Diceros bicornis minor: one gene and its partner. The protein of the gene in region 1 binds, or shares a complex with, the protein of each later gene. Links are inferred from orthologs where the notes say so. Each region holds a gene or a part of one and is shown in the gene's direction. Other genes may lie near its edges. The genes, in order: SMARCAD1 and TRIM28.

The links.
Region 2: the proteins of SMARCAD1 (region 1) and TRIM28 are in contact, whole or in part, in a crystal structure (PDB 6H3A), measured with the Homo sapiens proteins. The link is inferred for Diceros bicornis minor from reciprocal best matches to the Homo sapiens genes SMARCAD1 and TRIM28. Residues at the interface, in NP_001362784.1 of Homo sapiens: Asp156, Leu157, Ala160, Lys161, Gln163, Thr164, Glu167, Leu168, Phe169, Asp188, Gly189, Ala190, Ala192, Leu196, Ala201, Gly202, Gly203; in NP_005753.1 of Homo sapiens: Arg330, Trp333, Thr334, Lys337, Ile338, His341, Leu376, Lys377, Ile379, Val380, Asp381, Val383.

The regions. Positions count from the first base shown.
Region 1 is NC_080747.1:77,530,500-77,543,306, forward strand, and holds the start of SMARCAD1 (SWI/SNF-related matrix-associated actin-dependent regulator of chromatin subfamily A containing DEAD/H box 1), read left to right. Parts: upstream 1-7,936; 5' UTR 7,937-8,040; intron 8,041-8,107; exon of another isoform or gene 8,108-8,378; intron 8,379-8,661; 5' UTR 8,662-8,710; coding exon 8,711-8,900; intron 8,901-12,807. UniProt on the Homo sapiens protein: DNA helicase that possesses intrinsic ATP-dependent nucleosome-remodeling activity and is both required for DNA repair and heterochromatin organization.
Region 2 is NC_080773.1:38,309,843-38,322,127, forward strand, and holds the start of TRIM28 (transcription intermediary factor 1-beta), read left to right. Parts: upstream 1-6,656; 5' UTR 6,657-6,936; coding exon 6,937-7,273; intron 7,274-7,609; coding exon 7,610-7,722; intron 7,723-7,951; coding exon 7,952-8,084; intron 8,085-9,719; coding exon 9,720-9,855; intron 9,856-9,940; coding exon 9,941-10,057; intron 10,058-10,139; coding exon 10,140-10,254; intron 10,255-10,375; coding exon 10,376-10,522; intron 10,523-10,631; coding exon 10,632-10,746; intron 10,747-10,831; coding exon 10,832-10,938; intron 10,939-11,027; coding exon 11,028-11,064; intron 11,065-11,148; coding exon 11,149-11,194; intron 11,195-11,266; coding exon 11,267-11,519; intron 11,520-11,610; coding exon 11,611-11,930; intron 11,931-12,011; coding exon 12,012-12,135; intron 12,136-12,225; coding exon 12,226-12,285. Other genes in the region: ZBTB45 (zinc finger and BTB domain-containing protein 45), read right to left, coding at 6,033-6,044. UniProt on the Homo sapiens protein: Nuclear corepressor for KRAB domain-containing zinc finger proteins (KRAB-ZFPs).

The DNA.
Region 1 (12,807 bases):
TAATGACTTTGTAATTTTGAAATTACTTTCTTATGAAGAGTTCATTTTCCTCAGTATAGCTGACTATAAATATATCATCCATGACTATTTATTGAAGCCCGTGATTTGGTTCAGTAATACTTCTACTTTCAAGAGTACAGACATGTATAACATAAGGCATTTATAATATTATCAAATACCTAAGTAGGAACAGTCCACAGACAACCTACATTGCACGAAAATATAAAATGTTAACATGTAATTTATCCCCAGAACTGTGTTTTGACTAAGTCTAAGTAGATCTGGCAGTAATAAGAATTTTGAATTATGTTTAATGTTTGTGGGATTTGAAATGGCTGAAAGAATACCATAACGTATTTTCTTTTGGAATCTCTTTGTAAAGACCAACTCAAGAAGAAAAAAATATGTGTACAGGATTGATTACAATGATCCAGTTTGAGTCAAATATATTGTGAAACATGACATTTGGAGAATGGCAGATATAAAAGGATAATTTCAAGGTAAGAATTACTACAACAAAAATGAGATGCCACAGGTACAGATGTGGTAAAATTTGAACCTAGATGTGCCATCCTGACACAGCGGGTGTAGAGAGCAACAAAATGGTGACCACACAATGCCATGAGGAAACTCACTTGCAAGAACACTGGGAGAAAAATGTAGGGTCTTGTGTGTATGTGTGTGTGAACCCAAGTTTTTAGTGTGTGAACTCAAGATTCTAGAGTATCCTGACAATTGTAAAACACGCATCAGTAGAAAAAAGAAGTGAAAAAAATTAGGATAACAAAATTAAGTAAAAGATACAACCTGAGATTTGCTCTTTAATGGGAAGTTACTGAAAATAAACTGTTATGTGCTTTATTTAGAATTTAAATTCTACCTTTTTCAATTTTTCATAATTGCAGAAAAGCAATTATGGTAGTTAGCAAAATATAGCAACTAATTAGCAAAAGGGTGAAAAATAATATTTTTTAATCCCCTAAATTGGTAATGGCAGTTACTAGAGGTTTTAAGTTTTAAAAGGCACATACAGGAATGGAATCACCATGGATTCCACCAGAGTTATGAGGATTGACGACCTCTTTGGCAGAATTTCTTAATATCAAGTCCATAGAGCACTAGGGGTTCCAGGAAGCTCCTGAAATTATGTACACTCCATTGTGTGCATATGCAGTTTTCTAGAAGGCATTATTACATAGTTTTTTAAAAATCAAATTCTCAAAAGAGGTTCATGACCATCCCTTCCACCTTTCCAAATTAAGAATAATTACTCTGGGAAAAGAAATATTTGCTTACAAACTGGTAATATTTGTCTTAGTTTCTTGTTACCAAAGAAGAAAGATCTGCTTAGTTTTATGATTTGGTATCTTCTCTTTTCCATTTCATATTTATGTGTGTGAGGTAAGATTAGTTTATACAACTTTCCATTACCAACCAGGTGTGGTTTACATTTTTAAGATACCAAGTTAAGAAGGGATCCAGATTTGCAAATCTCATTTTTAATCTCTTTTGCTGTTTATTGTTTGGTTTCTTATTTAATTCAGATTTGGAAGGGTTGCTCCTTCCACAAATTGCTTCATGGTTTTATTTTGGTAAATATAAAGCAAAAAGAAATAAAAAAAAATCCCCACAGGCTTTCCTCCTATTTAATGAAGAAATTTGAGGATTCTAGCAAACATTTTCACTGAGCTCATTTCAAAACTAACAGGTAATTAACAGGATTTTGGCAGCTGTATTAGTCAGGATTCTACGGAAAAACAGAACCAATAGGATATATAAAAGTATATAGAAAGAGATTTATTACAAAGGACTGGCTCACAGATTTTGGAAGCTGAGAAGTACCTCTAAAAGCTGGAGGCCCAGGAAAGCCAGTGGTGTAGCTCCAGTTCAAGACCTAAATCTGAAGGCCTGAGAACGTGTCTGAAGGCTGGAGAGGATAGATGTCCCAGTTCAAGCAGAGAGAGTGAATTCACTGTTTTTCCACATTTTTGTTCTATTCAGGCCCTCAGTGGATTGGATGATGCCCACCCTCATTAGGGAGGGGGATCCGCTTTACTCAGTCTACCAATTCAAATGGTAATCTCTTATAGAAACACCCTCACAGACACACCCAGAAATAATGTTTTATCAGCTATCTGGGTATCCCTTAGCCCAGTCAAATTAACACACAAAATGAACCATCACAGCAGGCCTACATAAATATTTATTCTAATTTAAAAGGTGAATTCTATCCCAATAGGGACCCTTGAAGCAATAATTTATTTCTGAAATCTTAGTCACCACATTTGACTAGTCCTGCTGATAAAATTCTGTTTTATGGTCTATATTCCAGGAACTTTATCTTAACTACCATGTTGAATCACAAAAAATGCCTTAATACAAATTAGAAATGATAAAGCAAATTTTCTGTGACTAAGTATATATTTCTAAAGAAGAGGTGCCTTTGATCTTATTTATACTACTGAGAAAGAGGAATTAGATATCATTGTGGGAAATAATTCTTCCGGCAAAGCAGGCAGAAATGAAGTGGGAGGACACATAAACAAAGTCTATTAAACGTTACTTTTTGTACTCAGCTACTCCAAACGTGAGGTGAAGAGGAAATGAGCCTAAGATTCCCAGACAGTTTCTGAGTCTAGGTATTTTAAGATGGGAAAATAAGGAACATTTTAATTTTAACTGGAAGAATCAGTATACTTGACACAAAAATGTTTGGATATGTTCTAATTATCTATTACTGCATAACAAACTAACCCCAAAATTTATTGGTTTAAAACAATAGCAGTTTTATTATATCTTATGATTTTGTAGGTCAGGAATTTGGACCAAGCAGGGTGATTCAAATTTTATCATTTCTTTCTTCTTTACTAGTTGGAATGCTTTTATAAAGAGATACTTTCCTTCATCTGTTATTTGATTACCTAATAGTGCCCTTCATAGAGAAAAGGCAGGATAAAAGCTTGATTCTTTTCCTAAACTTGTCAGTTTTCATGATAATGAATTGTCTTCCTTTTATTCTCCAAAGACAACCAGTTTTTTACAAAAATACCATAAAGAACTTATGGATTTAAACATATTTGATGGTTTTTACATAATTGCAATTTTTAATTGTATTGAAGTTCAAATTGCCCCATCTTTGTCCAGTAGTAGCAGCCTCTTCAAGTTGACTCCGGAATCTTTTTGACATGATGTTAGTGGTCTTTGATAACTTCCTTGCTTTTGGGTATATGAAGATATTCCAGGTTCACGCTGTACATTTCCTGTCCCAGACTAGAATCTGTCCTTTTTTTAAGAAGTTTTGGTTTCCTTTAGTGGTAAATGATATTTCAAGACCACAATCTTGGAGGTAGGGATGTGTATTGGGCTAGTCAGTTCCTAGGCCATTTCAGTGGACACAGATAGGAAATACACACACGTTACATGTGTATATATATACATATAGGGTGTATCAAACCTCATAAATTCCTACTGATATTTCCAATTCAAATAAAGAACCACTCTGCACTCTAGGCTTTACACTCTAACAACTCTCTACCACATCTGTATCTCCTTTCTTCTACTTGAGAATCCTGGTTCTCAAAGAAAAAGGAAATAATAGAGTTATTCATTTGCTTTATCCAACAATATATATACAACAGTCTCAGAATAATAATACTAGTATACTCACTCAAAAAATAATTTTTTCATGTTTCTACCATTTTTTCCCCCAGTTTTAAGACGTATGCATTGACAGATCATATAGCCATTATATACTATACTCTTTTGCTTTTAAACCTCATATTGTCTTTGTTCTACAAATAACTGTATAGTTAGTGCTCAATATCTATCCTTACATCATTGTCTCTATAGACATTTTGGTTTATGTAGGTCATTTTCTAATAGCTTCTTCAGAAATGCTCATGAGAACAATATCCACAGAGTTCTTGCATAATGTTAAAGTTTATCTGTGCCTTTTTATTTGAAAGGCACTTTGTTCAATATAAAATCACATTTTATTTCCTTGAGCATCCTAAAAACAATACTCCATTTTCTTCTGACATAAAGACTTGCTGTTAAAACTGTGATGATAATATAATTTTCTTTCTCTTTTAGGTCACTTGCTTGCTTTTATCTAAATGTTCGAGGAAATTTTAAAATTTTTCCTTAAAGTCTAAATTTTATTAGAATATGTCTTGGTGTTGGCCATATGGGTTGATATTCTCAGGTAAATGATGTGCTCTTTCAAGATATATAGTTTCAAATCTTTATAATTTTCAGGAAATGTTTTTTGAATTTGAGTTTTTAGTCACTTCTTCCATACCTTTGCTTTGGTTTCCTTCTGTAGTGACTCCTATTATAATTTTGTTGGATCTTCTTTGCTTATCTTCAATATTTATTATTTCCTCTTGAAATCTATTTACCTTTTGATTTTCACTTTTAGGTTTTCTTCCCTTTTCACCCTCTATTTCTCTTAAGTAATTTTATGTTACATTTATTCATCTATGTGTTACATCTAATTTAATCTTTTCTAAAGTACTTTTTCTTTTACTTCTCTTCCTTTCTCAAGTTATGTCATCTCTTCCCTGAGATTTTTTAACTCTATGTTGTTCTTCCATAGCACGTACTATTTTGAAGACACTAAGTTTATTTTAAAATTTATTTGTGGTTATCTGTATGCTTAGGCACTTTAGTTATTAATAGCATTCATTCACTCAACAAATATTTATTGACCATGTACTATGTGCAGACAGGCATTGTAGCCTGAAGTTGAGCCACATTAGCCAATCAAGCTTATTGCTTTATGCAACTAAAACTTTGCAGTTGTTTGTTATGCAACAAAAAGTTGACTAACACACCATATTTATAATTATTAATTCCTAACTATATTTAGTCTCAACAGAATACTTTTACACCATGAATTCTCCATTCTTGAAATCCTCATTTTTGAATTTTTGACCCTGTCAGCTGCATTTGTCTTTAGAAACATTTTAAGGAAGATATATTTTCAAGGAATTAAAAGTTTGAAATTGTTTTTTTCCTTCCACAAATGAATGACATACACGTGATCTAGAAAATTAGTGAGTGACAATCCTTTCCCTCCAGAGCTTTGTAGATGTTGCATCATTACCTTCTGGCTTATAGTTTCAGGAACAAGTTTTTGACTGACTTTTTTTGTCCCTAGTAGGCTGCAGGGTTTTTCTGAAAAAATGACTGCAAGACATTTTTTAAATTCTTGAAATTAAAAAAAAATTCTTTAGGACATTTTTAGTGTACAGTCTCTTTTCATTGCTTCTGCCTTGAATCCAGTAAGCTCTTTCACTTGCAAACTAAAGTGAGCTCATGAACATTTTCTATTATATTTTTCATTATTCTGTTCATTTTGTGTGTGCATATGCTTTTCTTTGATTATATCAATTAATCAAAAGTTGCCTCTCAGTCTTCTGACTCCTATGTTTATCATCCCTTTAAATCACATTGATTTCACCTCTTTGTCTTTTTCCTATGCATTCTAGGGGGAGAGGTGGTTTTCAAATTTTTCTTCCATATTGTTTTGTCCAGGTCTCAGCCTATGAATAAAAATGTTGTGGTTGAACCAGTCTTTGTGATTCTTATTATGACCGCAAAAAGCCCTTCAGCAATAACCATCAGGAAACTTTGAAAAAATAAAGGTTTACTATTCACAGGATCTGGAAATTACACAGCACACCTAGGGCCACACAGTGAGGTCACAGGTAGAGAGAGAGAGCACACAGGCCTGGGGTTCCGTGTTACTTTGTTATATACTCCCTTAACCTTTTGATCCACCATCAAGTAAAATCTCAACCATGGATCATGCCAATCCTCCCAGGTCAATGAATGCTGCAGAACCACCCTACCCTTAGAACTAGGCAAGAGTGGTTCCTATACTGGAACTAGTGCTTTATGGGGCTTAATCTGGCTCTTTTCCAGCTATGCCCAACCACAAAGGGCAAGGAATCCGTGGGGCCAAGAAGATATGCTCACTCAGAACCTGTGCCTTGACTTTTAGACAATGCTTTTGAGTACTTGATCCCTGAAATTCTATGTTCACACAGGTCCAAGAAGGCTAACAGTGGCCTTTCTGCTGAGGGCCAACAAGTCTTTCCAGTATCTATACCCTTAGACCCAACGTGTAGCAAAAAGACCCCTAGGCCCAAGAGGTGATGAAGCAGTCAGGTGGAGGTAGGTTTGCCAAATAAAATACAGGATATCTTGTTAAATTTGAATTTCAGATAGATAACAAATAATTTTTTAGTATGAGTAAGTTCCAAATAGTGCATGGGACATACTTACACTAAAATAGTATTCGTTGTTTATCTAAAATTCAAATTTAACAGAGCATCCTTTTTTTTTTTTTTCCCCACAAATATGGAAACCCTAGGTGGGGTCAGAGTTGGATATTTGAGATTTGAGCTGGGTGTCCATATGCATGAACACAAGGTTCCTAATGGTATCACACTGAGTGAACAGGGAAGGCACCACACTGAGTGAACATGTGTCACAACAGAAGTAGTACCACATTGAGTGACACAGGGAAGGCAAGATACATCGGCCAATCAGTTCTCCTTGAATCACCCACATTCTTTCTGACACATAAGAAGTCTAAATTCAACCTAGCTTTCCAGGTCATTTTTAAAACAGGGCAATACAACATATTTTATTTTTACATTTTGTTAGCTGTACTTATAATGTTTAAATATTTAGACATATGATATGTAGGTCTCCATTTTCACTCTTGCCCCAGCTGTACAAATGTCAAGGGGTTAGGACTGTTGCAGAAAATTCCCCTAAATGGTCAATAGTATCATCAACCACATTTAAAAGATGAGGAAACTAAGGTTTAGAGAAATTATACGTTATTTGCCCAAAGCATTCAGCTAGTGGAATCCATTTTCAATGTTAGATCTGTTTAAATATAAAGCAAATATTCTTTTTTGTATTATGTGTATAGCATGGTGACTATACTTAATAATACCATATTGCATATTTGAAAGTTGCTAAGAGAGCAAATCTTAAAGCAAATATTCTTCATCAAAAACAATTTACTATTTATCAGTTGATATATCCTTTAATCATATCATTTAACATGCGTGCATAAAGCTGGTGCATTTCATGGGATATCAAAGATAGGTATAACGGAAATCCCAATTGTTCAGCCTTTGATTCTGAATTTTATGGGTCCAGACACTTGATTTTACAAGCACGCCATATTTGATAAAATTGTGGGTTCATGTTATAATTATACAATTCAAAACACTGATTTATAAAACAGAATGCCAATTTAAGTTTACAATGACTGATGTATTTGGCAGAATAATGATTTGTAGCATTTCCTCTTTCAGGGAAATGTCAACCAGAGGATCAAATTACAATTCAGAAAATTGCTTGTTTAGTCTAACGTTAGAACAAAGAGAGTAAATATTCTTAAGATAATATTTCCATCAAGATAGGGGAATTGTCATATTCCACCTAAGAACAACGCAGCTAACTAGTGGGGAGGCAGTTCCTATGCTTTGAAGCTCAACATACCGGGTTTTACCCCTTACTAATAATTACTTAACATCTGCAGGCCTGTTTCCTTACTTTGTAAAGACAGCCTTCTTGTAAGGGTTGAGATTATACACATAAAACAACCTAGCACAATATTATCATACTGTCTATATATTATATAAAATATTATAGATTATAATATATCAAATATTACACTATATAGTCTTATTATGCTATTTATAGTTATTGTGCTATTTGTTATTATTCTATTTAACAACCCCCTAGCCAACCTGGAGAAACAGGCAGAAGCGCGCTTCCCAGGCAAAGAGGCGGGTACCAGTTACCATGACAACAGCGCGCGCCTGGACACTTTCCGCTCTCGCGTCGCTGGGGAAGAAAAAAGCCTAGGCTGCGTGTTGCGTCATCACTACGCGCTCGTTGGGACTCTCCGTGCTTTTTAGGAAGGTCCCGGCCCGGCTACCGTCCCCCCCACGCCGAGAATTATTTTTTTTCTTTTCAACCTTTGTTACATCGCATCGAGGCTGCAAGAGTGTAAGTATCTCGGGGAGAAATGAAAGAGAGCAAGGGAGTGAGCATGAAAAGAGATGCCGCAGCACACTCTCCACCTCTGAACCTTCCTTGTGATTTCTTGATCCTATCGGCTTCCTCTCAGCTGGGATCGCGCCGCGTCAACTTCCGGGCGGGTGCCCGCCAGCACGGCCTCCGCCGCTCCCCTTCTTTGGCCTCTTTGTGTCCCGCCGTGTCGAGGCTCGGGCCCTCGCACGTCCTTTCTCGAGGCAGGGAGCACCGTAGTGCAGGGAGCCTCTCACTGTGGGCGGGCGCGCGGCCCGCAGGGGGGTTGGAGTGGGAACGTGCCTGCGCGTGCTGGGGTAAGAGGAGGTTGCACGAGGGTCAGCTCGTGGTCCCAGGAAGGAGGGGCGGGAGGGGGGAGGGGGGGGACGAAGGCGAGTGAAGAGAGCAATGGGAAATTTTTAAAAGGTATCCCTGAGCACCTTCTGATTGTTGTGGCCTAACAATGAGGCGCAGCCATAATAATCATCCTGAGCCACTAGCATGTTTGCGATCTCTTAGCTGCCTTGGGAATGAACTGCTATGGCTTTGTATTTTATATTGTTTTCATGGCCTATTTTTCTCTTTATTTTTTCCCGGCAGATAGTTCATTTAAAGCTCCCAATCCCTCAGGGTGGTGGTTTCTACCAGTATGAATCTTTTCAACCTGGACCGTTTTCGCTTTGAGAAAAGGAGTAAGATTGAGGAAGCGCCTGAAGCAACCCCTCAGCTCTCCCAGCCCGGCCCTTCTTCACCAATTTCTCTTAGTGCTGAAGAGGAGAATGCTGAAGGGGAAGTTAGCAGGGCAGGCACCCCTGATTCAGATTTAACTGAAAAAACAGGTGAGTTACAACGTTGCAAATTGATGTAGCGTCAAGAGATTTTTTTTAAAAGATGAAAGCTGCAAGACATTCTAATTTTTATTCTTGAGATCATACATACTGATGTGTTGTCCTTCACCATGCCCTTTTAGATACAGCTTTTCACTGCCATAGGCACCCTGTGCCTCCAACTGAGTATCCGTCCGTAGTTGCTTCACTTTTACATGCGTTCTTAGAATATGGCCCAATGATGGAAGTTGAAATCAGAATTTAGGTCATCATTAGGTCAGAATGGTTGCTACTGGAAGAGAAACTAGGTGATTCAGCCCTACGATAGACTTTGAGGCTGTTATTGCCAGATGTTTACATTCATTCCAGTATTCCTCCAAAAAATATTGATCACCTGCTGTGAGCTAGACTTTATTCAAGGTGCTTGAAGACAACCACTGTGAATAAATGAAAATCAGATCACATTCATATTTTGCCACCACTTGACTTCCTGGAGATTCCAAAGTACAAATGAATAATTAGTGTTCTTCATGGTAAATGAACCATTTTTAACCTCTTCAGCAGATTGTCATGGACAGTAGGATTTGAGAAGCCAAAAATTAGCATCTCTGTTTTAATCCGTGTTGTCTGGACAGTTAACAATTAGATTATACTTGAACTCTTACTATGTTTTAGGCATAGTGCTGAGTGTTTCACATTCTCTAATTTGCGCAACAATCACGCAAGATATTGTTATCCATATTTTGCAGAAATGAGACCCAGGGAGGTTAAGTTGTTAGGAAGCTGGTAGAAATGGAATTCAAATCCAAGCAATCTAATTCCTGAGCATAAACTTTTAATTGTTTACATTATACAGTTTCTTATGAGGGGTGAGAGGGATATTAAAAGCTTTAATGTTTATTTCAATAATACCTTTTTTTTAATGCAAAACTAAATATTTCACAAGCAGCTCTAAGTTAATGTGGCCCTGACAAGATTGGTAATATGTATGTCTTCACCCTTGGTATCCCTATTTTGTTTGCTATCTTCTACCTAAATGCAACGGTGATGGTAGAGTCCCTACAAGTTAACATGAGAATAACATTTCAAACTTCTCTGGTGTAATTGGAACATGGTGGAATGATTTGGTAGGTTGTATTAAGTGAAAGTTAGCAGTCCAATTTTGAAAGGCTTTGTTTGTCTAAAGAGTTTTGAACTTGTCTGAATTCTGTGGGGAACCTCTGAAGGATTTTAAGCACAGGAGTGACATCCATTTGTTCTTTCAACAGATATTTGATTTGCGTAACATGCTGTATTTAATGTCTAAACATCCAGGTACTTTAGTATTTTAACAGTAAATATATTAATCTATTTCTTATGTAGTTAGGGCAGGGAAAGTCAGAGTGTAGGCATGGGATTTTGAGTCCTTAGAAGTCTCTGTTTCATGTTAGTTAAAGGGGATATTGGACAAGTCACTTAAAATCTGAGATCCACAATTTTTTCGTCTCTAAAATAAAAGCATTTTGTAAACTGGAATTGAGTGGAATGTTTTAGTTATTTATCAACATGAGTAATGTGAAATTCTTATTTGCCTTTTCTAATCAAAAGATGTTTTTCTGCCTTTTTCTTTCTGTTTGAAGAGACTTCACTCATTTTCTCTTTATTGGGACTTTTTCTTTTCACACATAAATTCCTCTTAGAAACTAAGATTGCCTTTAGGAATCAATCACATAGTGAGTCTTGATGACACTGGGAAAGTTTGTTCTGGGATTGTTGAGAATTCATCCTATTAGAAATAGAGAGCTTTGCTTTAAGAAAAGATTATTGTAAATGATACTGAGTTTTAGAGAATCTTGAAAACTAAAGCTAAGTTTAGGCTTTACCTTATAGGTACTAGGGATCCATTAAAGACTGCAGATAGAAGAGTAAGATGATGAAAGAAAGTTATTTAGTTATTTTGTGGAAAAATCAGTCTAGCAATTGAGAGTACTGTACATTATAGAGAGTACGGTTTGAAGGGAGAGAAATCGTTTAAGAAGCTCTTATAATGTAAACTTGATGGCAGTAGAAATGGAGAACAAGATGTGAGAGATTTCCAAGTAAGAGAAGGGCAAGGTTTTACAACAAGATCCATGGTAGGAATGAGATAAAATGAATGTTAAGAGTTTTCGCTTGGATAAATTGAATAAATAAAAGGATAGTTCTGTACATCAGAATAGGTATGAAGTACCCATCATAAGCTATTGGGCATGCATTTGAAAATTGAGCTAAGAATCAAAGGTGCTGTCTGCAATTTAGTGTGTTGGAGTAGACCAAAGTCAACTTAACAGTGTGGGGTTGGGGGGCTTGCTGAATTGAGTGTTATGGCTTGGGCCTATGGCGAGGACAAGATACTGAAGTTAGATTTAAGATCAGGACTGGATATGGAGATTGGGGAATCATCACTGGGGTACAAATACTGACCTTACTTTCTTTATCATCATATGGTAACTTACTCTGCCATTGCAGGATAGTGCTGTATTTATTTACAGTAGGTTAGGATCTAAGTCAGCTTATAGGATGGAAATTGTGTATAGTTGAGATGACCTGTAATCACTCTTTTTCAGCTATTCCTCTTTTATCTAATATGAGTTAAGATTTTATTCATTACCATTCTCCTTCAGTTACTATGCAGCAGATACACTCTTCCTTGAATATGCCAAGCACAGTCCAGTCTTTCCTTCTTCACATTTGCTCTTTGCCTCCAAGACCCTTTGTGCCGATATTTGCATATGAGTCAGCTCCTTCTTTCCTTAGGGCTTAGTGAAATGTTACCTTTTTTAGAAGGCCTTCACTTGATCACTTTCTCTGAAGTAGCAACTCCCCTCCCCCCCAGTTTTACTCACTGTATTTTTCTGTATAATATTTATTACTACCTAACATTACATTATGTATTTGTCTCCCCCTTATTAGAATACAGTCACGCATTGCTTATGACGGGATACATTCTGAGAAATGTGTTTTAGGCGACCTCATCATTGTGTGAACATCATAAAGTGTTCTTACACAAACCTAGATGGTATAGCCTAGTACACAGCTAGGCTATATAGTACTAATCTTATGGGACCACCGTCGTATATGCAATCTGTCATTGACTAAAACGTTATGTGACACATGACTGTATAAGATCCATGAGAGCAGAGATCTTGTCTGTCTTGTTCACCTATTCATCCCCATTGCTCAGAACAGTGACTGGCGTGTTGAAGGAAGGAGTATTGGTTGGTAAGTGGGTGATATTAGTACTTTGTACATATTTTTAAAATATCTCTCCTGCTCCCTATGATCTTGAAACAGTCCCTTAGCCATCAGGCATTCTTCAGCCATGGATACTTTACTTTTGGTACAGGACAGGCTCCTTTCTTTTTTTTTTTTTTTGTGAAGAGGACTAGCCCTGAGCTAACATCCGATGCCAATCCTCCCCTTTTTTCCTTGAGGAAGATCAGCCCTGGGCTAACATTCGTGCCCATCTTCCTCTGCTTTATGTGGGACGCCGCCACAGCATGGCCCGAGGACAGTCTCCTTTAATCCAGTCTTTGGATGTGAGGGCATACACTTAACCTGTGGGTACCTTCCCTCCTCCCCTCCCCAGGTTTATTTTACTCTCACAGTGGCCAAAGTTATCAATGGTTATTGCTTATACTTTATTTCTCCTTTTTCTTTGACTTTTTTGGGAGCATAGTGGGTTTGGAGGGAATAAAGCAATGGCAGATGAGTGAGCCTACAGTGTTTTATGCACAAACGATAAAAATATGAACAAAGCATGATCCTCAAGGAGCACTGAGAGGAAAGGACATGTAAATTTATATAGTTAAAATGGTACATAACTCATGTAATAGGGGAGGATATTAAGCAGTGTAGGACCATAATCCAATTCACAAATGATTAAATTATCCATTCTTCC
Region 2 (12,285 bases), on another chromosome or scaffold:
ACAACCAAAATTTACTTCTCACAGTTCTGGAGGCTGGGAAGTCCAAGATTAAGGTGCCGGCAAGGTAGATTTTATCCTGAGACCTCGTCTTTTGGCTTGTAGGAGGCTGCCGTATTGCTGTGTGCTCACATGACCTCTTCTTTGTGACCATAGCAAGCTCTCTGGTCTCTTTTCTTACTGGGACACTGATCCCATCATGAGGGCTCCACCCTCATGACCTCACCTAACCCTATTACCTCCCCAAAGCCCCATCTCCAAATACTATGACATTGGCAGACCTTCAACATATGTATTTTGGGGGGGATACCATTCAGCCATAGCAATGACACACAGAGGGAAAAGCAATATGAATTTGGAACAAAGAGAGATTTGAAGATGTTGGCCTTCAAGATTGATGTGATGCAGCCACAAGCCCAGGAACCCCTCGAACCACCAGAAGCTAGAAGAGGCAAGGTAGGATTCTCTCCTAGAGCCTTCGGAGGGAGCATGGCCCTGCCAACACTTCAATTTCAGAATTCTGGCCCCCAGAACTGTGAGTTAAATTTTTGTTTTAAGCCACCTAGTTTGTTGTAATGTGTTACAGTAGCCATAGGAAACTAATGGAGGAGCCAAAGTGATTTTAAAGGGTGATTTAGAGGATCTAGTGCCTTTTCCGCCCGGCCTGCTTGGATGCTTATCTTCTGCTTTCCGCCCTCCCCCACATCCATTTCCCACCTGAAACCCTTGAAATGGGAATCAGATCATGCCATCTTCTGCTAAAACCTTCTGCTAGCTCCTCATTACAATTAAAGAAAAAGCAAGCCAAAAGCCATGTATGGTACAGCAGCTGTGTTCATAACAGCACAAGCAGGAGGAAGACTCAAGTGTGGTCAAGAGGAGACTGTGCAGGGGCCGGCCCCACGGCTTAGCGGTTAAGTGCGTGCGCTCCACTACTGGCAGCCCAGGTTTGGATCCCAGGCGCACACCAATGCACCGCTTGTCCAGCCATGCTGAGGCGGTGTCCCACACACAGCAACTAGCAGGATGTGCAACTATGACATACAACTATCTACTGGGGCTTTGGGGAGGAAAAGGGAAAAAAAGGAGGAGGATTGGCAATAGATGTTAGCTCAGGGCCGGTCTTCCGCAGCAAAAAGAGGAGGATTAGCATGGATGTTAGCTCAGGGCTGATCTTCCTCGCAAAAAAAAAAAAAGAAAAAAAGAAGAGACTGTATAAACAAGTGTAGGGCATTTGTGTGATGGGGCCCTACACAAGGACATGGAAGGAACCAAGGCCACACACAGCCACACGGATGTGCACTCGGGGAAAGAAGCCAGACACTGACCCGCTAAACCCTGCATGGTTCCATGTGTACACCAGCAAAGCTTGTCTGTGGTGGGAGAAGTCAGGATGGCGGGGGCTAGGAGGGGCATAAACAGGTTCTGGGAGCCGGGGATGTTCTGCTTTTTGATATCAGAGCTGGTTACCCAGGGTGCTCACTGTATGTATGATGTGTGTGCTTTTCTGTACATATTATAAGCCTTATATTATATAATTACATATTATATCAAAAGGTTAAAAAGTTCAAAGAAGCAGAAAGTAGATTAGTGGTTGCTCAGTGCTGGTGGGAAAGGGAATGGAGAGTGAGTGCTGGTTTCCTTTTGGGGGTGATGAAAATGTTCTGGAACTAGACAGAGGTGGTGGTTGTACAACATTGTGAATGTATGAAATCCCACTGAATGTACACTTTAAAATAGCTGAAATGATGAATGTGATGTTACATGAACTTTTTTTGTGTGTGTGTGAGGAGATCAGCCCTGTGCTAACATCTGCCAATCCTCCTCTTTTTTTGCTGAGGAAGACTGGCCCTGGGCTAACATCCCTGCCCATCTTCCTCCACTTTATATGAGACGCTGCCACAGCATGGCTTACCAAGCAGTGCGTTGGTGCGCCCCCGGGATCCGAACCAGTGAACCCCGGCCCGCCGCAGCAGAGTGTGCACACTTAACTGCTTGCACCACCCGGCTGGCCCCAGATGTTACATGAATTTTAAATTTTTAAAAAATTTAAAAAGTAATAGAACCCAAACCTCATCTTGTAGCCTACAAAACTGGAAGGGTCAAGACAGTCATCATCTTCATGAATTTGTGTGTCCTCTTACACATTTACTGAGTCCCTACTCTGGAGCGGGCCCTGGGATAGACATGGCAGATGCAGTAGTGAGCACGAGCAGTTTGGAACTCATGTCCTCATGATTCACTCTAGTTGAAATGTCAAAGAAGAGAAGGAGCCAGAAAGAGAGGTGGGGAATAACATTCTGGGGAGAGGGAACAGCAAGTGCAAAGGCCCAGAGGTGGGAACAACAGGCTGGCCTGTGTAGTTGGAGCTGAGTGGTAGATCAGAGGTCAGCAGGGACAGACCCTGCTGATCTGATCATCAAAATCTGATTTTTATGTGTGTGGTAAAATACACATAACATAAAATTTTCATTTTGGGGCCAGCCCCGTGTTGTAGCGGTTAAGTTCAGCGTGCTCCCCTTCAGCGGCCCAGGTTGGTGGGTTTGGATCCCAGGTGCAGACCTACACCACTCGTCAGCCATGCTGTGGCTGTGACCCACATACAAAATAGAGAAAGATTGGCACAGATGTTAGCTCAGGGTGAATCTTCCTCAGGAAAAAAAAAAACCTTAAAAAAGAATTTTCATTTTAACTATTTTATTTATTTATTTATTTTTTTGTGAGGAAGACCGGCCCTGAGCTAACATCCATGCCAATCCTCCTCTTTTTGTCGACGAAGACTGGCTCTGAGCTAACATCTATTTCCAATCCTCCTCCTTTTTTTTTCCCCCCAAAGAACCAGTAGATAGTTGTATGTCATAGTTGCATATCCTTCTAGTTGCTGTATGTGGGATGCAGCCTCAGCATGGCCGGAGAAGCGGTGTGTTGGTGCGCGCTTGGGATCCGAACCCGGGCTGCCAGCAGCGGAGTGCGCGCACTTAACTGCTAAGCCACGGGGCTGGCCCTTAACTATTTTAAAGTACACAATTCAGTGACATTAAGTACATTCATGTGTTGTGCAACCATCACCACTGTCTAGCTCCTGAATGAAATCTGTGAACACAGAGCAAGAGATTGGAGTGATGTAGCCACAAGACCTCCCCAGGAAGTGGCTCTGGGGGTGACACCTGAAGCTGGATGGAGAGCCAGGTGCAGGTGTGGAGTTTGGGGAAGGAAGAGAGTGAGGGTGCCTGTTTGCAGGCAGGTGCCCCAAAGGGGCAGTAGGCAGGCCTTGGCTGGCCTGGGTGCAGTCTGAGTGACTCCTATGCATTGTTTCACCCCTGGAGCCCTGTCTGCAAAGCCAGAATAGAGACAGTTTCCAGTGGTCCAGGACTGGGAAGGGTAAGATGCTGTAAAGGGTGGGCAAGGAGCACAGAGGATGAGAGTATAAGGTGACACTGACACTGACTACACTCAGTCGGGTCTAGCTGGGGGACAGAGCCAAGATGTACCTGTGTCCTGCCATACACCTCTGGACCTCTGAATAGGCTGGCTCCTAAGAGAGGACCTCTGAGCAAGGGTTCTGCCCTGGCCTTGCCCTCCTGTATGCCCACTCTGGTTCAGCCAGTCCTAGGATGCCCCTTGTGCTTCCCTGAGTCTGCCTGAGCCTGGTTTCCAGTTGATTCTCCTCCCCCATTGCTGTCCTGGCACTTCCAGAAGCCTTGGTTTCCCCATTTGGACAATGGGGCTGGCAGTGGCCAAGCACCTGGTGGTAAGGGGACTCTCCAAGGCCTGCTGCTGGCACCTGGTGACATCCTGCTTGTGTGGCTGCCAAGGACTAGGAAGGAATGTCCTGGGCCCAGAAGGAGAAAGGGGGGACTGTTTAGAGAGAAGAGCATGGGCCTTGGTGGACCATTGAAACCACAGGGCCAGTTGCCAGAGTCTAGTGAAGGGCCTGTAACCAGGGGCAACCAGAGGACCAAACCTATCCCCAGATAGCTGTCTGGCAACTTCTAGGCACCTCCCACTACTCCTCACTTCACTGCTCCCTTTGTGCCTGGTCTGCCTCAGGGCCTTTGTACTTATTGTTTCTGCTTGAACTGTCCTTCCTGCAGGTGTTTGGGAGTAGCCCCAAGGGGAGTCCTCTCCCACACTCTTTACCACCACTTAGTTATTTTGACTGTCTGGTCCCTGACAACCCTGCGTCTGCCTCAGGAGCCAGAGTAAATATGGGTCAGTCCTCCCCACACCTCCTCAGAGATTTTGCGGCCCCGTGCAGGGTGGGGTCGTGGAAAGTGCTCAGCAAATATTACTAACGGACGCCACACCTCACGCTGTGCACTGCCAGCCACCAATTTCCTTCCCAATTATCAGAGGAAGTAAGCAACGGTCCGTGGACAGGGTCTTCGGGAACGATTAAGAGGCAGCGGGCCAGTCAGTGAGGGGGCGTGGCCCGGCGGACCTGCTCCGGTGGCCGCGGAGGCCGGGACTATGCAGCTGAGGGGGCGGAGCGGCGCCCGGATTTGGGGGCCGCGCCAGGGCTGGAACAAAGGCGGGCGCGGAGACAAAGCCCTGCGGACCCCCGGCGGCAACAAAGGCCACACCCAGCCCAGTAGGGCCGGACGCGTCTCCGCCGCCGCCACGTGTGGGCTCCTGGGGAGCTGGGTTGGGGGAGGCTGCGCCCCGCTCTCCCCGCAGCCTGGGCGTGTGCGAGGTCTGGAAAAGTAGAGTCGAGTCCCGGGGCTGGACCCGCCGGCCCTCCAGGCTCTCTGCATCCTCTCAGACCTGTGCCCTCCAGCCTCATCCTGGCCTGGAGACCTCAGGACCGAGGAGCCCTGCACAGGGGGCCAAGGCCCAGCCCAGGGACCAGCTCCGAGGCACCGATCCCTCGAGTTTTCTCCGTGCCTAGTGACCCCAGACAGGATCCCCTCCCAGAGACCCTGCTCCCACCGACTCTGCTCCCACCTTAAATAGGATTCTCCTCACAGACTGCTCCTACCTCAGACAGGATTCCCCCCACATAGACTCGGCTTCCCCTCAGACAAGATCCCCTCCCACAGACTCTGCTCCCACCTCAGAGAGGATTCTCCGTACACAGACTCTGCTTCCTCTCGGACAGGATCCCCTCCCACAGACTCTGCTCCCACCTCAGACAGGATCCCCTCCCACAGACCCTGCTCCCACCAACTCTGCTCCCACCTCAGACAAGATCCCCTCCCACAGACCCTGCTCCCACCAACTCTGCTCCCACCTCAGAGAGGATCCCCTCCCACAGACTCTGCTCCCACCTCAGAGAGGATCCCCTCCCACAGACTCTCCTCCCACCTCAGACAGGATCCCCTCCCACAGACTCTGCTCCCACCTTAGATAGGATTCTCCTCACACAGACTGCTCCTACCTCAGACAGGATTCTCCCCACAGAGACTCTGCTTCCCCTCAGACAGGATCCCCTCCCACAGACTCTGCTTCCCCTCAGATAGGATCCCCTCCCACAGACCCTGCTCCCACCAACTCTGCTCCCACCTCAGACAGGATTCTCCCCACACAGACTCTGCTTCCCCTCAGACAGGATCACCTCCCACAGACTCTGCTGCCACCTCAGACAGGATTCTCCGCACAAAGACTCTGCTCCCACCTTAGATAGGATTCTCCTCACACAGACTGCTCCTACCTCAGACAGGATTCTCTCCACACAGACTCTGCTTCACCTCAGACAGGATCCCCTCCCACGGACCCTGCTCCCACCAACTCTGCTCCCACCTCAGACAGTATTCTCCCCACACAGACTCTGCTTCCCCTCAGACAGGATTCCCACAAAAACGCCATGTTTCTTTCAAATAGGATGTCTCCCACCCCCACAGGCCTGCTCTTCCCCATCTGACAGAATTCTCCGCACTCTGCTTCCTCCCTCAGACAAGACTCACCTGCCCCCATCCTACTCCCCACTGAGGGAGGATTCCCCTCTCTACAGATCCTGCTTCCTCCGACAGGATTCACTCCCCCAGACCCTGCTTTCCTCCTTAGAATTCCCCCACTGTTAGGTTCAGTTTGCCCACCTGGAAAAGCATCAGTCAGCGCAGCGGCTGGCTGAAAGATGGGAAGGGAGCGCTTGGGGGGCCAGGTGACTCGCTGCTCTGTAGTCTCTTGGGATCTGTTTGATTTAGGCAAGTTTCAGTGTTTCTCGTGTTAAACAATAAAAACGTTAAAAGTCAGCCTCCCGGCTCAGAAGAGCACTTCCTCCTCCGACGGGGACCCTCCGCCCATCTTCCTGTGTCCCGCCCCCTCTCCCGAACGCTTGTTGACGCAGCAACCAGAGACTTCTCTGGGCCGGCCAAAGGGGCCGGGATTGAGGTGGAGGCCCAGACTGCTAATACGCATGCGCACTATAGCGGCCTGGAGAAGGGGCTGGCTCGGGAGCACACCCTAGTAACTATGCGCGCGCCCCGCCCGCGGACTAGGTTGCGGCAGTGACGTCACAGATGCCCTGCCTCTGCCGCTTGAGCGGCGCGGTGGTGGTGTAGGCGGAGGTAGGAGGACCCGGCTCAGGCGCATGCGTACTCGCGGCTTCGCCAGCGGCTGCCGACCTGAGCCCCGCCCCCGGGCGCAAGGCGCCTAGCGCGCCTGCGCGGCGGCGTCGGCGCCAGTTATTTCTGTCCCGCCCCCCAACAGCGGCTCTTTCTGCGAGCGGGCGCGAGGGTGAGCAGTTGTGCGAGTGGTGCGTGGCGCTGGTCTTGGCGGCCGCTGAGGAGGAAGCGCGGGCGTCGGCTGCGGGAGGCGAGCAGGCAGTGGGCGGCCAGTACTCGGCAGCGCCCCGCGCGCAGCGGGCGGCGGCCCAGGCGGCGCGTGGCGGCGCTCGGCCTCGCGGCGGCTGAGGCCCAGCCGTTGGCGGCGAGCGCGTCTGCGCCTGCGCGGCGGGACCCGCGCCCCTCCTCCTCCCTGGGCGCCCCCGGCGGCGTGTGAATGGCGGCCTCGGCGGCGGCGGCCTCGGCGGCGGCGGCGGCCGCCTCGGGCAGCCCGGGCCCGGGCGAGGGCTCGGCGGGCGGCGAAAAGCGCGCCGCAGCCTCCTCGGCCTCGGCCTCGGCCTCGGTTTCGGCCTCAGCGTCGTCACCCGCGGGGGGCGGCGGCGAGGCCCTGGAATTACTGGAGCACTGCGGCGTGTGCCGGGAGCGCCTGCGGCCCGAGAGGGAGCCGCGCCTGCTGCCCTGCTTGCACTCGGCCTGCAGCGCCTGCCTCGGGCCCGCGGCGCCCGCCGCCGCCAACAGCTCGGGGGACGGGGGTGCAGCGGGCGATGGCGCCGGTGAGTACGGGCTGGCCCCTCTCCCGACCACGCAGCGTTTTATCCCAACTTGGCGCAGGGATTGGGGGCCTTACCTGCGTGGTGATGGCGGGGGATCGCCCGGGCGGGACGATAGGGACCTGTACAGTGCTTGGCTGGATCGGGCGCTGAGATGGAGCGTCTGGTTCAAGTTTGGTGAAGGGTCTGGTTCAAGTTTGGTGAAGGAAGGGTTTGGCTCCTGCCCCGGGAGGGGAGGGTCTGGCCTGGAATGGAATGGAGATTGGGGCCCTGTGCGGGGATGGTGTTACAGCCTGAATGTGAACGTGCAGTGGTCTTATTCCTTCCTGTTTTTCGCAGTGGTGGACTGTCCTGTGTGTAAGCAGCAATGCTTCTCCAAAGACATTGTGGAGAATTACTTTATGCGCGACAGTGGCAGCAAGGCTGCTTCCGACTCCCAGGATGCGAATCAGGTATCTCTTTCTCCATCAACTTCCAGGAAGCCTCAGGCCATGGGGAGGGGGGCACCAGCCCAGGAGCACGGTACCAACGGGAGATTTTATTCTCCCGACACTACAGCGGTCTGGGTAGGCTGCCTAGGCTAGGTAAAGGCAACACCTTGCTTCAGGTCGTAGTTCCTGGGATGTAAATGAGTATCTGTCTGGTGGTTCTGTCTTCTCTGATTCTGCCTTTGCCTAGCAGTGCTGCACTAGCTGTGAGGATAATGCTCCTGCCACCAGCTACTGTGTGGAGTGCTCTGAGCCATTGTGCGAGACGTGTGTGGAGGCACACCAGCGGGTGAAGTACACCAAGGACCACACCGTGCGCTCCACTGGTATGTAAGGCTGAGGGGGTGGCCCAGACTGTCTTCCTACATATGCCCTTAGTTGCTTATGATGCAGGTTGCAAGTGGCGAATGGGTCCCAGGGAAGTGCTTTAGGGGGTACCAGCTGAAGGGCCTGAGGGCAGAACTCAGAAATGGGGAGGTTGGGGCTCTGGTATGCAGTTTCTGCAGGTCTAGGTGGGCGGGGAAAGGCCACAGACAGGGCTGGGGAGCGCACAAGGGACCTCAGTACACACCCTCAGGGGAATGTACGAGAGTTTGAGGAAGCTCATTGGGATAGGCTCCAGTGGTGTAGGGACAGGCATGTGCAGTCAGGGAAACAAGGCATTTGGGGAAGGTTGTGAGGGGCCTCCTGGATCTGGGGTTCTCTGGCATTTGGTTTAAGGCTCTGTAGGGGAAAGTGAGGCTTCTGGGCTACAGTATGTTGACAAGCTGTGAGGGCCCTTAGACCATCATTGACAGTGAGTCTTAGAAGTATTTTCGCTTTGTATTGTAGGTGTCTTATTCAAAGATCAGGCAAGTATTTTTAGATTTTTTTGTGAATATGTTGGCAGTGGTACATTAAGGGGCTTGGGAGTCTTCTGAGTCTAGCCTGGTTTTTAGTCCAGAACTCCTTGTGAGTGGCATTTTGGTAGTTACACTGTGGTCTGTTCAGTTCAGAGGTAGGAAGATGAGGGTGGAGATGGTGGCTTTGGGGCATGAGGAGCCACGAGGGAAGGGCAGGGGTCTGCAGCGTGTCCTGGGTTCCAGACAAAGTTCAGGGTGCAGGGGGTGCAATATTGGAGGAGCCAAGGCCTGGCTGGTCTATGTTTCAATGTTATGTCTCAAGCCGAGTTGGTGTACCCGGCACATAATTGGGATTGGGGAGGAAAGAAGAGCAGATGTTCCCAAACAGCCTTCTGATGGTGACAGGCTCTGTGTGTGTGTGGGGGGTCAGCATAGTATATTGGCTTCTTGGTGGTATTACTCTGAGCACCAGGACCCTCCCTGTGGAGAGGGTGCCTGATACCTTTCTGAGTGTCCTGGTCTGATGTCTTATCTCTCCCAGCCTGAGAAGGCTTTGCAAGGCCTCCTGTGGGCCTGTGGGTTGTAAGAAGTCAACACTCTTCTCTTAGCAGAGGAGAGGGGAGGTCACCAAGCATTGCTCTTAAGGAAATTGCCTGTCTCTAGGCCCTGATTTGCTCTCTGTCTGTGCCAGAAAGTGAATATTCTGCATGCTGGGTTGCCACAGTAGTCAGAATCCCCTTCTCTTCTGGACAGAACCTGCTGTGAGTGGAGGAGAAAGGGAGCCCACTGGGGGGTTTGGAGGAGGGTCTCTCCTGAGTGTCCACCTGGAGAAGATTCTAGTAGAGGGAACAGTAGAGGGGAGGTTTCTCCTGCCAGAGATCATCATCTTTACATTTTGTGTTGTTACTGCCAGAAGCTGGAAGGAGGGGCAGGCTGGGACAGAGGGTTTTGAGAGCAAGGATCTGGGTTCTCAGGCCTGTGTTTCTCTGGCCACTGCTTCAGGGCCCTCTGGGTTTTCCCAACAGACAGCCCAGGACAGGCAGGAAGTGAGGCCCCAAGCCCTGTCTGCTCCTTGAGTGGCTGAGGGTAAGCTCCAGCCTCATGGTTCCTGTTCCCCAGGGCCTGCCAAGTCAAGGGATGGTGAGCGCACGGTGTACTGCAATGTGCACAAGCATGAGCCCCTCGTGCTGTTCTGCGAGAGCTGCGACACCCTCACCTGCCGGGACTGCCAGCTCAATGCCCACAAGGACCACCAGTGAGTCCTGAGGTAGGGTGGGTCAGTGGGTGGATGCTGTCTGTTCCTATGCACAGTGTGCAGGACTACTTCTGTCTGCTCTCAGATACCAGTTTCTGGAGGACGCAGTGAGGAACCAGCGTAAGCTCCTGGCCTCGCTGGTGAAGCGCCTGGGAGACAAGCATGCGACATTGCAGAAGAACACCAAGGAGGTTCGCAGCTCGTAAGTGGAGATGCCAGGGTCATGGGGTTCCCTGGGTGAGCACCTGCCTGACTAGACCTGACTTGACCAACCCTGCCTCCAGGATTCGCCAAGTATCTGACGTACAGAAGCGTGTGCAGGTGGATGTTAAGATGGCCATTCTGCAGATCATGAAGGAACTGAACAAGCGGGGTCGTGTGCTGGTCAACGATGCCCAGGTACTCCCCATGTGCGAGGGAGGGTTCCTGGGCTCTCTGCTGGCTGCTGATGTCATCCTTGGGTGGGGAGGCGTTCTAGTGCCCTCTTCTCTGGTCAACCTCGTTGCCCTTTCATCCACAGAAGGTAACTGAAGGGCAGCAGGAGCGCCTGGAGCGACAGCACTGGACCATGACCAAGATCCAGAAGCACCAGGAACACATCTTGCGTTTTGCCTCTTGGGCCCTGGAGAGTGACAACAACACAGCCCTGTTGCTCTCCAAGAAGCTGGTGTGTGCTGTGCTGGTGGGCACCCAGGTGGTGGGTTTCAGGGAGGTGCCTCCCAGCACCCTGGATCCCTGTTCGCTGCATTTATACTCAAGCACTGCCCCATCCCCAGATCTACTTTCAGCTGCACCGGGCCCTCAAGATGATCGTGGACCCTGTGGAGCCACATGGCGAGATGAAGTTCCAGTGGGACCTCAACGCCTGGACCAAAAGTGCGGAGGCCTTTGGTGAGTCTTTATCTTTCCCCGTGCTGTACCTTGTCACCATCCCAGGCACTGTGCTTATTATGCTAACTTTATTTTCTTCCTATAGGCAAGATCGTGGCAGAGCGTCCTGGCACCAACTCGACAGGCCCTGCGCCCATGGCCCCTCCGCGGCCTCCAGGGCCCTTGAGCAAGCAGGGATCTGGCAGCAGCCAAGTGAGCAGGGGAGGGGGACTCTGGGGAGGAGAGGGGTGTGGGGTCCCATGGGATGCTTGCCTACTGAGGTTCAACTGTTTTGCCCGCAGCCCATGGAGGTGCAGGAAGGCTATGGCTTTGGGTCAGGTGAGTGGGTCTGCTTGGTAGGTGGGAGAGTTCCAGTGCCCTAGGTCTACCTTAACCTGCTGTCTCTTTTTCTGTCTTGAGCAGATGACCCTTATTCGAGTGCAGAGCCACATGTGTCAGGTGTGAAGCGGTGAGTGTGGCTATCCTTGGGTGGAGCAGGGTAGGCATAGGTATGGGTGCTCATGCCAAGGCGCACCAACAGGTCCCGCTCTGGGGAGGGTGAGGTGAGCGGCCTCATGCGCAAGGTACCACGGGTGAGCCTCGAGCGCCTGGACCTGGACCTCACGGCTGACAGCCAACCACCAGTATTCAAGGTGTTCCCAGGCAGCACCACTGAGGATTACAACCTCATTGTTATTGAGCGCGGTGCTGCAGCTGCTGCTGCTGGACAGCCTGGGACTGCGCCCCCTGGGGCCCCTGGAGCCCCACCCCTGCCTGGCATGGCCATTGTCAAGGTGAGCTTGCCCCAAGTGATCTTGGCTGGGAGATGGATGACATTTGCCGTCCAGGCCTTCACTCTGTTGAACGTCCCTCACCGCCTTGCAGGAGGAAGAGACAGAGGCTGCTATTGGAGCCCCGCCTGCTGCCACTGAGGGCCCAGAGACCAAGCCTGTGCTGATGCCCTTGGCAGAGGGTCCTGGTGCTGAAGGCCCTCGCCTGGCCTCACCCAGTGGCAGTACGAGCTCAGGCCTGGAGGTGGTGGCTCCAGAGGGCACCTCAGCCCCAGCTGGTGGCCCAGGTGCCCTGGATGACAGTGCCACTATCTGCCGTGTCTGCCAGAAGCCAGGCGACCTGGTTATGTGCAACCAATGCGAGTTCTGCTTCCACCTGGATTGCCACCTGCCTGCCCTGCAGGATGTGCCAGGGTGGGAGGCTGTGTGGGGTCTCTGGGGGCTGGAGGGCAGGACCATGTCCTGTGCAGCCCCCTCATTCTCTATTGCTTCCAGGGAGGAGTGGAGCTGCTCACTTTGCCATGTACTACCCGACCTGAAGGAGGAGGATGGCAACCTGAGCCTGGATGGTGGTGACAGCGCCGGTGTGGTGGCTAAGCTCTCGCCAGCCAACCAGCAGGTGAGGGCAGGGGCTCACTCCCTTGGGGGTTGCCCAGTAGTTTTACTCTCCTTGCCTCCATGGTTCTCATGTCTCCCGTAATGTTCATAGAAATGTGAGCGTGTCCTGCTGGCCCTGTTCTGCCATGAGCCCTGCCGGCCCCTGCACCAG